4 linked regions of the Cricetulus griseus genome follow. The protein of the gene in region 2 purifies or fractionates together with the protein of the main gene of each other region. This does not show direct contact. Links are inferred from orthologs where the notes say so. Each region holds a gene or a part of one and is shown on either strand. Other genes may lie near its edges.

Evidence for each region.
Region 1: the proteins of Gpn3 (region 2) and Polr2m purify together in Homo sapiens (affinity purification with mass spectrometry; 3 studies listed by BioGRID and IntAct, counting the BioPlex papers as one, with this or other methods). This does not show direct contact. The link is inferred for Cricetulus griseus from reciprocal best matches to the Homo sapiens genes GPN3 and POLR2M.
Region 3: the proteins of Gpn3 (region 2) and DNA-directed RNA polymerase II subunit RPB11-a purify together in Homo sapiens (affinity purification with mass spectrometry; 4 studies listed by BioGRID and IntAct, with this or other methods). This does not show direct contact. The link is inferred for Cricetulus griseus from reciprocal best matches to the Homo sapiens genes GPN3 and POLR2J.
Region 4: the proteins of Gpn3 (region 2) and Polr3b purify together in Homo sapiens (affinity purification with mass spectrometry; 3 studies listed by BioGRID and IntAct, counting the BioPlex papers as one, with this or other methods). This does not show direct contact. The link is inferred for Cricetulus griseus from reciprocal best matches to the Homo sapiens genes GPN3 and POLR3B.

The regions. Positions count from the first base shown.
Region 1 is NC_048597.1:182,985,556-182,988,403, reverse strand, and holds the end of Polr2m (protein GRINL1A), read left to right. Parts: intron 1-1,223; coding exon 1,224-1,367; 3' UTR 1,368-2,319; downstream 2,320-2,848.
Region 2 is NC_048597.1:102,212,086-102,216,208, reverse strand, and holds the start of Gpn3 (GPN-loop GTPase 3), read right to left. Parts: upstream 2,864-4,123; 5' UTR 2,758-2,863; coding exon 2,710-2,757; intron 866-2,709; coding exon 659-865; intron 1-658. Other genes in the region: protein FAM216A, read left to right, coding at 3,518-3,582. UniProt on the Homo sapiens protein: Small GTPase required for proper localization of RNA polymerase II (RNAPII). May act at an RNAP assembly step prior to nuclear import.
Region 3 is NC_048597.1:115,110,998-115,115,300, reverse strand, and holds the start of DNA-directed RNA polymerase II subunit RPB11-a, read right to left. Parts: upstream 2,846-4,303; 5' UTR 2,742-2,845; coding exon 2,689-2,741; intron 1,091-2,688; coding exon 1,001-1,090; intron 1-1,000. UniProt on the Homo sapiens protein: Core component of RNA polymerase II (Pol II), a DNA-dependent RNA polymerase which synthesizes mRNA precursors and many functional non-coding RNAs using the four ribonucleoside triphosphates as substrates.
Region 4 is NW_023276806.1:150,759,618-150,763,182, forward strand, and holds part of Polr3b (DNA-directed RNA polymerase III subunit RPC2), read right to left. Parts: intron 3,100-3,565; coding exon 2,946-3,099; intron 302-2,945; coding exon 227-301; intron 1-226. UniProt on the Homo sapiens protein: Catalytic core component of RNA polymerase III (Pol III), a DNA-dependent RNA polymerase which synthesizes small non-coding RNAs using the four ribonucleoside triphosphates as substrates.

The sequences.
Region 1 (2,848 bases), about 81 Mb from region 2:
TTTCACAGAATTTTTTTAAATGGATATTAAGGTGTGGTGGTGCATACTTTAGTCATATCACTTTAATTCCAGCAGTTGGGAGGTAAAAGGCAGGCAGATCTCTGAGTTTTCAGGCTAGCCTGGTCTACACAGCAAATAGATGGTGAGACCCTGTCTATAAATAGAATGTATAATATTGGTAAAGTTTGTGTTCGGATTAGCAGGATGGGAGAAGTGTGGACATTAGTTATAGTTAGATTGTAACATACCTTCTGGGAAAATAGCACCCCCTCTCTTGAATTGGATTTTAGTCAGGTGCCGGCACCTTTTAAAGTCAAACTGACTTTGCCTCTGGTTGGCTTTTCCTGAGCATTCAGCTGGCATGGCCGATGTCTTTATGGCCCTTGATATTTCTTCCTCTCAGTGCATTAGAATTAGCATCAGATCCAATGGGTGTGCTGGAGGAGAGAGACCTCTGAATTGTCTCTAGGCTTTTTAAAAATACCTATCTTGAGACATTTTTAGGTTAAACCCTTCTGAAATGGGTTGCCTGTGACAAAATAGTAAACTAGATACCAATTATGCCTACCCATAATATTCCTGGGCTGAGGTAGGGAGCTGTTGAAGTTCAGGAGTGTGTGGTGGGGGGTGGTAGTGAGGCGAATGAGAGATAAGCCCCGAAGCCTGCCAGCAGTTGGTGGTAATCCTTATATGTGGAAAAGTCCCCTGCCAGTCTGAAATTTACTGGGACCTTTTTGAGTGTTAATTTCCATAAGACTTTACTTATGGAGGAACAGTCTGCATGGAAGGAGCAGTCAGCAGCCTTAATGTCTTGGCTCTTTTGTGCCATTGAGGTGTACTCTTCAAACCTAGAAAATATGATTTTAATGTAGAGAAGAAAGTGTGTCCGTTGGAGACATCAGCACCACTTTGATGATTTCTTCTACTGGCAGCTGGTTCGGTGTGCATGGCACAGTTAGTGTATCTGTTCACAGCTGCCAGAGTGCCAAGCTGAGTTCTCAGTTTCTCGTGTAGAGGTTAGCTGTTTTGATTGCAGCATTGCTTGCTAATGAAAGTCACTAGCAACAGCAGCAGGCTGACAGCTCTCAGATACATCACCTTGTGTCTGGCAGGGCATAGCTGTCAACATCCTGTGTTGCCAGAGACAGTGGAAATTACACTCTTTATCCTGGACCCGGGGAGCTGTGCATGTGTTAACTTGGGCTTTGTTCTTTGTTTTAAAGGAGATGCAAGCAAAGCTCGCAGCACAGAAACTAGCAGAGAGACTGAATATTAAAATGCAGAGCTACAATCCAGAAGGGGAGTCTTCAGGGAGATACCGAGAAGTGAGGGACGAAGATGATGCCCAGTCCTCGGATGAATTCTGAAGATGATCATGGGAGTTCTATCTCCAAAGCTGACTGTTCAGCCGTCATTGCCTCATAGCAACCTTCCTATCAAGTATCAAGATCAGTGTCAGACCTTGTTGAGGGACAGCAGTTTTTAAAGTTACACTACGGTAGCTACAAAATAAGAGCCCAGTTTGTCTTTCAGAAGATGATCTTCATGTGCTTGAACAGTTTTAATATTTGAACATTGTGTTTGACCGTATTGTATTACAGTTTTGCAGTATGTTGTGCATTGTTCTGATATTTTAGTGTGAGTAGAGCACATTTTTTCTTTAAGATAGCTGCTTTTTCCTTATTCTTATTCTTATCAAATAGCATTGCTTACATCCCTTCCGGTAAAGTACTTTGTTATCCCAGGCACCTAAAATCAATTAGGAAGACCTGGTTCCTTTTCTTGAGAAATGCAAGGAGCAGTCTAGAGAATGGTACGCATGCTTGCATGGAGTTCCTGAGATGTTGGATGTGAAATACTGTGGAAGACACTCGACTTATACAACAAATGTTTATTTGCTGTTCCTGTCTTCTCTTGGGGTGACTGCTATCTTCCTGTGATGAAGATAGGAGCACCTTGAGGAGGTGCTGGGTGGGGAGGGTCTTCTGAGCTGGGGTGGGGAGCTGCTCTTGGCTTCCCCAGCTCATTGCTGTCTTGGATGATAGGTCAGCGTACAGGGCGCTCATGTTTGCTAAGGAAACTGGTGTTTTTCTAAGAGTTATGGTTGAATTGTCAGTATGTTGCTTTTTTCCTTTTTAAACCCAAAGAGGTGTTTATAGGCTGCAGAAACCTCAGTCTCATATATGTACACATTTGTGTTGTTTAAATGATCATATCATCATCTCCAGCGAAGGTAACAATATGTTATCAAAAACCCTTTCTTTGTCTATTATGTGGAACCTGTAAAGGAGAAATAAAATAACAATCAAAGCAACTTCACATGCTGACAGTTATATTTTGTGGTGCTTGTTTGAATTTTACTTCTTTAAAAGCAGTGTTCTACATGAAGTTGGACTGAAAACATTTAGGTCAGATACACATAATGTAAAGGTTCCATAATGGGTGCTTCTAACTGAAATAAGCACTTTCCATGCCCTCCCACTAAGAAAGGACTGCTGTAAGAACTAGATGGAACCTGTGGTTTTAAAACTACTAATAGATGATGTTTGGTGTTCACAGTCTGTAGATGAATTAGTGTTTCACAAAGGTTGGTAAAGGAGAGCTCATGCACATGCATGAAGTTGCAATTGAACCCCTGTGAGTTGACCACTCTGTCTATTAATACTTGAGTGTTCATACTTTGACTTCTCTTTCTTTCTTTCTTTCTTTCTTTCTTTCTTTCTTTCTTTCTTTCTTTCTTTCTTTCCTTCCTTCTTTCTTTTCTTTTGAAGCAGGGTTTCTCTGTGTAGCTTTGGAGCCTATCCTGGAACTCGCTCTGTAGACCAGACTGGCCTCGAACTCACAGAGA
Region 2 (4,123 bases):
ATTTTGGAAATCAAAATAAAACCGACATGAAGTTGGTCTTGGCTCCTGTTAATTTGGGCAGGCCTCTCATCTCATACAGTTTCCCTCCTGGGTTCTTAAGGTCCTAGGTCCTTCTAATACATCTTTTCACTTAAGGCAGCTTTAGTGCTCTCACCCACATGATCTGGAAGCCACAGCCTGCCTTTCTCTGAGAGCAATGAAGGTGGTTTCCACCCCTCCTCAGCCTGCTCCCTGACTCCACCTAGCAGTCCACACTCTCCTCATGACCACACTCCCGGCTCTAGTGTGTAACCCCAGCCATCAAAAGGCAAATGCAAAAGTTTCGAAGTACAAGGTCATCCTTGGCTATACAAGGAGCTTGAGGGCAGCCTCAGCTACATGAAATTCTATTTCAAATCTCAAGCAAAAAATAAAAATGTTCCATGGCAGTGTCCACACTGTAGCACCTGCCACTTCACTCCAGTCCACTCCCACCTGCCTTCAGCCCCACTGCTCCCCCGCTAACACTGGCCTCAGCTGGCAATGACACCATGTCCCCACATCTAACAGCCACTTTCTATCACTGTCTGACAAACTGCTCAGCTGGACCTAAGGTGAGCAGCAGCTCTTTCATGAAAACTTCCCCCTTGTCCGTTCTGAAGCTGTGCCTTCCTCTCACCTCACTGATGTCACCTCCTCTAGCAGCTTCCCAAGAACACACACCCTCAGGGCTGAGCAGCCCACTTTCAGTGCCAGGGGACGCTGTGCAGGACTCACCAGCCATCACAGGGTAGTTGAAGTGCTCTGCTGCTGGATCCAGGTTGACCACCTGGACAGAGCGGTTGAGGGCTTCGCAGTGCTGAACCATGGTGGAACAGTAGGTGCTCTGTAACATGACAAGGTGGGGTGGTTAGCACACGGGGCAAGTGTGGTGCCGCCCTTCACACCCCCAGGGGACTTTGCCACTCTTTGGGGCAGTGTCCACTCAGGCCAAAGCTGCACCTTTGGGAAAAGTGCTGGGAAGGCAGTCAAAACAGAGCTATAGATCAAGATGTGGCTTGGGCTCAGAGAACTTTAACACAGTCCAAAACTTAGATTATGCAAATGATTTCCACTATGCTTCCCTTTGACACACTGCTCTCTCTGACTGGGACCACCCCTTCATACATCAAAATGTACTATGATTGACATGCCAGCTATGCATCTTCCCAAATAGATTACAGGCTCTGCAGAGTCACATGCATAACTCTGGTACTCAGAACCTGTGTTTATTAAATACTCAAGTGACACAACACCTCCGAAGACTTGATATGTAATCATTATCTTTGTCTTTTCTACTGTGTTTAGTGTCCCTAATATTATTCCCCGAATATATATTTACAAGGAAACATAGTCTAGCACATGGGAGGCAAAGGAAGGTAGATCTCTGAGTTGGAGGCCAGCTTGGTCTACACATGAGTTCCAGGACAGTCTGAGCTACACAGAGAAACCCTGTTTCAAAACAAAACAAGGAAACTCATATCACAATTTAAAATAAAACAACAAGCCAGGCAGTGGTGGCCCAAGCTTTTAATCTCAGCAATCGGGAGGCAGAGGCAGGTGGATCTCTATGAGTTCAAGACCAGCCTAGTCTACAAGAGCTACTTCCAGGACAGCGTCCAAAGACACAGAGAAACCCTGTCTCAAAAAACCAAAACAAACAAAAAATAAATAAAAAACCAAATATTATATTTCTCATAATACGAAGGTAATTACAAAATTCTAAGTAACTTTTTCCAGACGTGGGAGTGCCTACCTATAATCCCAGCACAAAGAAAGTCAAGGCAGGACTTCCATGAGTTTAAGGCTAGGGTGGACCACACAGTTAAGACTCTTGTCTCCAAAAGTAATTAGTTAACTTAATTTTTTTATTTATTATTGTTGCAGAAGACCTGGGTTTTCCACAAGCAACACCCTCTTCTGGTCTCTTTGGGCAGTGTACACAAGCCAGATAAGTATCAGAAGTCCATATCCCAACCACCCTCTCTACACCACTCCCCTCCCTCGAGTGCTGGGATGGAACCCAAGGCTCAAACTTCTGAGGAACAGTGAAGAACAAGACCCTATTCTGGGTGTGTGACAGAGGGCCTGTACCGAAATGAGTCAAAAACGGACTCAAATTCTGGCCAGAACCGTATGACTTTGAAAAGTTATCCTTTCTGTAGAATGAGTATAGGTTTAAGCTAGGGAGTGGTTATGAAAACACTTGGGACGGCCAGAGCAGTTCCTGGAGCAAAAGTATCCTATTAATATTATTATTTTCAGGCCGGGCGGTTGTGGCGAACGCCTTTAATACCAGCAGAGGCAGAGGCAGGTGGATCTCTGTGAGTTCGAGGCCAGACTGGTCTACAGAATGAGTTCCAGGACACGTTCCAAAGATACACAGAGAAACCCTGTCTCGAAAAAGCTAAGAAAACAAAGTGTGTTGTGTGGGTTCCTGCACGTGAATGCACTGTTCGTGGAGGCCTGGGGCTGGAGTTACAGCTCTGTGTGTGTGCTGGGACCCGAACTCCAGTTCCCTGGAAGAGCACAAGATCTTAAGCGCTCAGCCACCTCTCCTGTCCCCCCAGTAATTAGTAAAGCTGCCTTTACTCCTCCAACAAAAACAAGGAACAAGCAGAGAGCGGAAGCGAATTACCCAGGGCTCCCGGGAGCCCCGACGCCCACGAACCGCAGCTCCTCGAGCCTCACCTTCCCGCTGCCCGCGGGGCCCATAACTAGCTGCGCATACCGAGGCATACCGGCTCTCCGCCTTCCCCCGGCCGCCGGCGCTCACACTCCCTTCAGCCTTCGCGCGAGCTCCCCTGAGCTCCGGGGACAAGGGTACCAGCCAATCGCGACCCAGATCACTGTTTCGTCCCTGGTATTTACGCCTACGACTACGGAGCGTCCCAAGAGCCAAAATTTCTGAGAAATGTGACCTGACGGAAAAGAGGAGGTGGAGACGCGGCTTCACGCGTGCGCAGAGAGAGCTGCGGGCCGTTGTCAGTTGGCCCACAGGCGAGGCTGGTTGCCTAGGTGACAACGAATCGCAGTAACGCTCAGCTCCTTCAGGCCGGTGCCCTGGTTCTTGGGTTTGACTCCTAGGGTGACATCCTAAGACTTGCAGATCCACCGAGGGTCTGGAATACTGAGGTGGGAGACACCTTTTGCTTTAAGGGAGAGCACGCGCACGCGTGTGCATGTGTATGTGAGTGTGAGTGTGTGTGCGTGCGTGAGTGTATGTGTGTGCGTGTGTGTGTGTGAGTGTGTGTATGTGTGTGTGTGTGTATGTGTGGCCTTGCCCTGACACGTCCCTGTCACGGAGATTTGCCAAGGCGTAAAAGCCTGGTCACCTGAGGCCTCCTCCTCCTCCTCCTCGTCCTCCTCCCCCCCGGGTCTAGCACCAGGGTCTCGGGTCGCCTTCGGCACCGTCCCGAAGCCGCTCGGGCAGGGTCGGAGGGTAGAGCCGGAGGCCGCGGCGGCCTCACAGCGGGCGTGGCGCGCGCGTGCCGACGGGATGCCGAGCCGTTGTCCCGGGGTCGCAGAGCTGCCTGCATTGGTCAGGACCGAAGGCTGCGACGGGTGAGGCCCGGGAAGCCCCGCTGAGGAGTCGAGAGAGAGAGAGAGGGAGAGAGAGAGAGAGAGAGAGAGAGAGAGAGAGAGAGAGAGAGAGAGAGAGAGAGAGAGAGAGAGAGAGAGACAGAGACAGAGACAGAGAGAGAGAGAGAGAGAGAGAGAGACAGAGAGAGAGACAGAGAGAGAGAGAGAGAGAGAGAGAGAGAGAGAGAGAGAGAGAGAGAGACAGAGAGGAGGGGGCGGGTGAGGCCGCGAGGTCAAGGGCTGACGAGGCGGCCTCGGAGCAGGACAGCAGCACTGTCACCTGCTCTCGCTCTCAGCGCCCCCGGAGAGGGTCCTGCGAACCCAGTAGGGAGCCGAGGACCCAGCCCCCACTCCCACCCCCAACCCCTAGTCCCACAACCCCCGCCACTAAGCCAGTCCCTGCGACATTGGCCGCCTCTTTATCGGATGGGGCTATGGGCCAGGAAGGCCTTGATCATGACTTGCTTGACGGGTAGGTTTCTTGAGACACACTCCCATAGCTCAGGCTGGCCTTGAACTACCC
Region 3 (4,303 bases), about 13 Mb from region 2:
TGGTTTTTCCAGACAGGGTTTCCTTAACAGTCCTGGCTATCCTGGAACTCAATGTAGGCCAAGCTGGCTTTGAACTTACAGAGATCTGCCTGCTGTGGTTAAAGGCACAAACCACCAGACCCAGCACATTACATGCAGGGAAGGCTGGAGAACTGGATTAGTTAAAAGGTTTCCAGCACCCATGTGGCATCTAACCACCTGTACCTCCAGCTCCAAGGGATCTAGTTCTTTCTGACCTTCATGGGTAACAGACACACGGTAGACATACATAGGCAAAAGGTGTTTTAAATTTAAAGAAAGTATTGCTCTTGGAGAGGAGCCAGAGTCAATTCCCAGCACTCATGTCAGGTGGGGACCGTCTGTCACCCCCCCAGCTCTGAAAGCACTGGCAATCACCCAGTAACAAAAGTTTGGTAATCTGCCGATGCCTGCAGCTTTCTATCAAATGTAGGGGTAAGTGAGGTGACACTGCTGGCCCCCTTTGCTTTATCTTTTTGAGATACTGTATGTAACTGGCTGTCCTAGAGCTTACTATGTAGACCAGGCTGGCTCTGAACTCACAAGTACTCCATCTGCCTCTGCCTCCCGAGTGCTGGAATTACAGGTGTGTACCACCATACCCATCACCTCTTAGCATCTTGATGCCCACTAAAATGAAAACCTGCTTTGCTGGAGTCCCCTGAACTTGATCTTGGCCAAAAGACCAAGAGGCAACTGCAAACTTATACACTACATGAATGAGCCAACAGGAAGCTGATGTGTTACGTGTTACGTGGCCAGGATCCCGGCAACCATGGTAAGGTGAGTCAGTTTGAGTCCAGTCTACACTACATGAACCCCTACATCAAAAAGCCAACAAAAGCAAGCCGCATGTGAACAGACCTGTCAGTGACAGGTTAAAGTGCCAGCAAGCTGCGGAGAGACGGAAGGAACCGTCCCAGGGCATGTGCTCAGCCTACAGAGCTCTGGTGACACTCGAGGCCTCTGGCCTGGGACTTACGATTTGATGATGTTCCCCAGAGTGTGGTCTTCTTTGTTGATGGTGAACAGGCAAGCATTGGGCACCTTTGTGTCCTTGTTAATGGTGATTCTACAATGAGACAGGCAAAGGCTGAGGGTGATAGCTTTCCCTGGCCCCACATCCAGCTCTTGTGATGCTGACACTGATTCTCAAATCGGTGTCCCCTTTGTGATCAAACATTCTAGAAACTGCAGTTGGGCTGTTCCCACTACCCCAGAAACAAAAACATCCAGCTCTTTCCCTCATACAAATTGGTTGTCTTAAACTAGCTCTTGACTAAATTCTTTCCTAGAAGACAGAAAACAGCTTGTCTCCAAACCCCCTAACAATTCAAGGGAGGCCATCATTCTGCAAGTCCCACTATCCCCAGTCTGCTCGCCCCAAAGGGCTCTCTGAGAGCTCTGGCATGGTTCAATGGGTCACCATTTATCTCAAATTTTTAAGGCTCTGGGTTTCATCCTACCACTCACTCCCCCTCCAAACAAAACAAGCAAGGTAGGCCTGCTGGGACTAGTCACTGGGACTAGTAATCCCAGTGACGGGGGCAGGAGGGCAGAGAAAAACACTGTCATCCTTGCCTTCCTTGACAGACCATGCTGGCTGACTCCTATCTACACTTCCACGTCCCTGGAGGAGCAATGAAGTAGGCACATTGCACAGCTTTGACACGGCTTCTGGAGATCCACACCAATCCTCAGCAAATGCTTTGAGCTGTGACCCACTGAGCCATCTCCCCAGCCTAGCAAATGTTGGGCAGGGGGAGCTGGAGTGAGCCAGGCAGTGGTGGAGCACACCTTTGATCCAGCGCTTGGGAGGCAGAGGCAGGAGGATCTCTGTGACTTCGAAGCCAGCCTGCACTACAGAGCGAGTTCCAGGACAGCCAGAGCAACACAGAGGAAACCCTGTTTTGAAAAACCAAAAGAAAACTACAAAAAAAAAAAAAAAGCTCGAGTGTAGCTTATTGATAGAGCAGTAACCTAGCATGGGCCAGACCCTGGGTCCAGTCCCCAGCATGACCAAAACAAAAAAACAAGGAACCTTCTCTACTCCGTGATGGCACCTTATCTATACACACCAAGGACCCTTTCCCACACAGGATTGCTCCTTTTTTCTTTTTCAGAACGGGATTTCTCTTGGTCCTGGAACTACCTCTATAGACCAGGCTGGCCTTGAACTCAGAGATCCGTCTGCCTGTGCCTCCTGAGTGCGTCATTAAACCGTCGAGTCCTGAAATTCTTTCTAGTGTTGAAGCCACGAACCTGAGTTTGGCCGAGATCCCTGAAAATCTAGAGGAAATCCTCAGGCTGCTGAGGAGTGTGAGAGGGTAGCTGTGTCTCGGTCCCTTCACCGCTACCATCATTATCCTCCTGCCTCAGTCGCCAAGTCCTGGAATCACAGGCGATCGCACCCTATGCAGGGGGGTGAGCTCTAAAGCCATCGCTGCGCAGCATGGATAATGGGGCTGCAGACCAGTGAAAAGGGAGCCTGACACTCTGAGTTCGAATACAGTCCCCGACACTTCCTAAGTGTCTGGAGCAAGGGCTCGACGTGCCCCGGCCTCAGTTTCCCCGCTGTAACACAGGCGTACATCGCACCACCGCCTGAAGTTCGGCAGACGCGCACGAAGCACAGTGCTCACCGCGCCAGAGCTAACGGCCTCCACTTACTTCTTCTCGCCCTCGAAGAGCAAGAACGACTCGAAGGCCGGAGGAGCGTTCATCCTAGAGGTGCGCTCCGGCTCCCAGACTCAAGCCGCAGCCGCCGTTACCACACTGAGCTCCGGACCGCGACCACTTCCGGGTCACGAGGACACAGCCAATCAAAGCCCCTGGCCCCGCGCCCCCTGGTGGACCGGATGACCTTCGGCAGGCACGAGCAGGCGAGGCGGAGCAGGTTAGAAATCCTGTCCAAACCCCAGGGGCAGCACCTCCCAGCACAGGAGGCAGAGCCAAGCGGATCTCTGTGGTTTCGAGGACAGCCTAGTCTACAGAGTGAGTGCCAGGATAGGCTTCAAAACAACACAGAGAAACCCTGTCTTGAAAACAAAACAAACAAAAAGAAAAAAAAAAAAGTGGCTTTCACCAGGCGGCTCTTTGGCGCATATTCCAGCGAGGGAAGGCTGGGCCACCTGCAACTGGCTCACTGAGCTGGAATCCAAGCTGTGTATGTGTATGAGCTGCTGCTGCAGGACCCCGGCTGGCTGGATGAGGAGCAGGAAGGTGTGTAAAAGTGACAGGGTGCCAGCGGATCCTCTGTTGGACACACAGGTAACCAAAAAACAATGACAGCCTGGCACCTCTCTGCTTTTCAGCCGTCTTTGTGGCTATTGTGGCTATTTTTCCTATTTTTAAAGATTTCTATCTGCCTGTCTGTGCAGAACGTACATACAGGAGCCTTTGGAGACCAGCCTTGGAGGTGCTGGGAACCCAACTCTAGTCCTGAAAGAGTAGTCAGTCTTTAACTGCTGAGCTATTTCTCCAGCCTCCATGATGGTTCATTTTGTCAACCTGATGAGATTTAGTATCATTGTGGAAACAGACAAGTGGGCCAGCAGGACAGTCCAGTGGGTAAAGATAGTGTCACCAAGCCTGACTACATGAGTTCAATCCCCAGGACCCATGTGGGAGAAGTTGAGAACCAATTCCTCTGACCTCCCTGTGTACACACAATGTATATACAAACAAAACAAAACAAAAACTTCTGAGTGTGTTGGTGAGATTCTAGACAGGTTTAACTGAGGAAGGAAGGACTCACCATTAAGGACTCACCATTAAGGACTCACCACGTGCATGATGCCATCCTAGAGGCTAAGCCCTCAGACTGAATAAAAGAGGAAAGGAAACCATCTTGTTCTGCTTCCTGGATGCAGGTGGCAATGTGATCAGCTGCCTGGCACTCCTGTTGCTATGACATCCCAACCCTTCCTGAGGATGCTTCTGTCGGGTTTGTAGACACAGCAACAGGAACAATAACTCAGTCTCCTAGTCTTTGGAGTAACAGGTATGAGCCAGCCTAGCCATTGGTACATGAGCACTAAAACTTCACTGTATAACATGGAAGATGGCAGTGCCACCAGGGGACAAGTGAAGACAATGCCAGGTGCCAGAGGGCTTTGGAACCCTTCAAACACCAATCACATCATGCTCCCCCTTGCTCTGCATATTGACTTGTTATCCCTGGAGTGTCTACCTAAGGACCATTGATACCTAGCCCAGCTCATCCTCCTTCAAGGCAGAAGGCACAAAGATAATGCAGGCATCTTCCTCGGCTTTTATGTCTCCT
Region 4 (3,565 bases), on a different chromosome or scaffold from region 2:
AAGGCTCTACAATCCTCATGAACTATTTGTCAAGCACTTCATCATATGCAGGCTACTGCATATAAAATGGTTTTAACTGGTTGCTGGTACATTTGGCGGGGAGGGCTTAATAGACTAGAGATGAAAATATACCATCCTTACAGTATATATTGAAGAATGTTACTGCTGATGAAAGCATCTAGCCCATATTTAAAGAGATTGATAATGTCTACTTTTGGTCACTTACCTGTAGCCTTGAGCCAACTCTTCCATGTGCTTAACTGTCACTGCTGGCTTTTGCTTCTTGACAATTATGTAAGGCCTAGAAAGGGAGAAAGATAGCTTACTAGAAGGATGGTGTAAGTCAGCTCTACTGACCACTGTGGAATGAGAGAGGGTAGATGAAGCTTGTTCTGGAACTGCTGTATGAACATGTAGAGTCTTTCTCTCTCCACCTCCTTATATTTATGTGAGTGTGTATTCACTACTCAGTTTCCCTCCGATTATCCTAAGAATCATTTGGATTTAAATGAAAAGGCAACATAAAAATCACAATGAAGTCTAGACAGGGCACAAAATCTTCATGCCACATTTTAAACTGTGTAAACCACTACAGAAGTGCCTCATTTCCTGCTGGGAATACTTGCTGTATAGCAATCTCCCTTTACCATGCTTCAGGATTTTCACGATTTTGGTGATTTTAGTGAGTTGGAGTCAACTGTGGTCTAGAAACTTTTAAATCATGTATAGCCTTCTGGGCAGTGTGGTGAAATCCTGTACAACCCTGTACCACTCTAGCTGGGAAGGGAACCAACCTTTTCTCTAGTGACCGCATGCTACACAGCTATGTAGTAGCATAGCAGTCTCAGCTATATGACTGAAAGGATAGTATTGATGGTTTTAGGCATCCACTGGGGAGTCCTGGGGCATGTCCCCCACATGGGAGAACTGATGTATGGTGTCAGCGGGTAGAGACTTGTCACTGAGGACAATAATGGCATTTATTTTGAGAGTTCAGAGGAGGCCCAGATGTTTGATGTGGTTTGATGCATGACAAACATCACTGAAATAGACTAACAAGTGACTTAAAGCTCTGCTTGGCTGGATGTTTATGCAGAAGAGAACACAGCTTCTTTACTGGTGACTTATAATGACTGCTGGGGGTGAGATGGAGAGAGCACTCTGTCAGATTAACCTGTAACTTTCAGTGTGACTTGCCTCTGAGGGTTCTGCCACTACAAGGAAATACCCACAAAAAGAAGGGCATGCGGCATGGAAACGTCAAGTGCTGCTGCTATTTGGACAAGCAGCTCTTACAGAGGGGGAACAAGAAGCCAGCAGACACTTGTGTGTTTGTTGGAAGCCCAAATGACTTCTTGACGACTAATGAGCACTGTGAAATGGGCAAGAGGAGGAGCTGATCACTCTGATCACTCAAAAAAGGAGGAAGGAGCTGGGCAAGCTCTTCAAGGAAGTCAGCAGTACCTCAAATCCTGGCGTTTTGGTGAGGATGCAGAGAACCACTCCCACCCACTGTAGGAGCTCCGCCCACTCTTGCCCACTCAGTACCTCTGCCCACTCCTGCCCCACTCCAGTAGCTCAGGTCAAGGCTCACAGGACTGAGCAGAAACCAGAAAAGAAGGGAGAAGCCCCTTTCCTCAATAAATTCTCCTATTCCAGCCAGAGCTGTGCTGGAATTATAAAATTACTTCTGAAAAACAGTTAACTTCCTTTTAGAACATGTTTTATATGGATACAGTGAAATAACAAAATTACAAACAGGAATAGCTTAGAACATGCCATTGCTTCTCCTGCCCCTCAGAAGGCCATGTTGTCTAATACCAACTTTCTTCCTCTTTTTAAAGCAAGATCTCACCACAGACATCAGGCTGGACCTCACAGAGATCCACCACCAGTCTCTGCTTCCTATATACTAGGATTAAGGCCACTGAGCCACCACACTTGGCCTAGGCCATTTGGGAACAACTCTGGATACTCTGTAAGTACTTCCCACAGCTTACTAGCTAGTTCTTAGCACAGGCATAGGTAGGCATCACCACTTACATTTCACAGACAAGGAAACCAAGCCTCAGAAAGTTAGAAATACTAGAATCACAGTCACTAAGTGGCCAATTAGGACTCCAGTGTGGGTATATTGTTTTCAACAACACCATAAGACAAACCAACTTTGAACAGGGTAAGCAAAAATTACTTTACTACAAGCATTATGAAGTTCCAGAAGGAATAGGAATGGAGGAAAGGGGAGAGACACTGAGAAATATCAGGAACTGGGACAGTTATGACAATCCAGGCGTGCCGAGTAAGTTTGGGTGGGGTGGGGCAGATACTAGTTGGATTTCTGTCTGCTTGAAAGACTACCTGTGTGTGATAGTATCTACACACTTTCTGGAAGAACAAAAGGAGCCTACTTTTCTAGTTACCTTCTTCATCTGTGTCTTCACACTTTCATTTCCTTAGCATTTCTCCTTTTACTATCTGATCAAGCAAAATAATTCTACCAACACTTTAAGGCTGGGTAGACTACAGAGGTAAAAAATCATGATGATTGTTGGACTCATGTGACTTCTAAGGACTACCAAGAAAAAACCCAATTCTACTCTAGTCTAGCTCTGGGTATGTGGCTCACCTTCACAGACCCCCAAGTTTCTCATATAGTAAGAGTCTTACACAGATAGCATACCCAATAAGACAACAAACAATAACTAGCATCCAATCCTAGCACAACTGGTTGCTATTAGTAACTATTTGTGTTTCTCCTGGCAGATGAAACTCTCTGAGGACAAAAACTATCCTCCATTAGTTTTCAAATTATCTCCAAAGTGTCTAATAACTGAATTAGATGCATCTCCATGACAAGAAAGGTTAAAGCAGCTTCAAAACTAAAAGTAAGGCCATTTCTTTTAAAAGTTCACATAAAAAGACTTAAATTCTTTGTAGCAACATACCTGCACAACCGTCCTCCATCAGAGGAAATATAAACACATCGGTCTGTAAGATTCGTGGAGATAGAAACAAATTCATTGATATATCCCGCTCTTCGCATCAGCCGAAATGTACTGACAAGCTTTTTATGGTCTCGAATGACACCTAAGATGTTGCCTAAACAGGGAAGACACAGGAGGTAAGTAGAAAGAAAAAGTAATCTGATCTAAATTATCCATTCAATAATAATATTAAGAAGCAGTGAACAGTCATTTGAAAATAGTTATTATTAACATCAGAATTCGTCCTGTATAGGCTCTGGGAAGCAGCACAAGGGTGTGCTCAAAGACAGTCTGGAGGCCTTGAAGCCTGTGCCCATCACACTGGACACTGACTAAAGAATTCTCAAGAGTTCACTTCACTGTCTTCAGCTGTCAGCACAGTCATGGGGCAAAAAGTTCACCCAGAACAGGCAGGTGTGAAGCCTGGCCTTTTAAACCCGCAGGTGTTGTGTAGAGGAAAAGTGCTGAGAACTGCCTTGTTCCTAGCTCTGAACCTACAGAACCTGCTGTGAAACCAAGATGCCAAGTTTCACCTCCCAGGATTAGTATGAGGATTCAGAGGCACAGGATGCTGTGCAGAC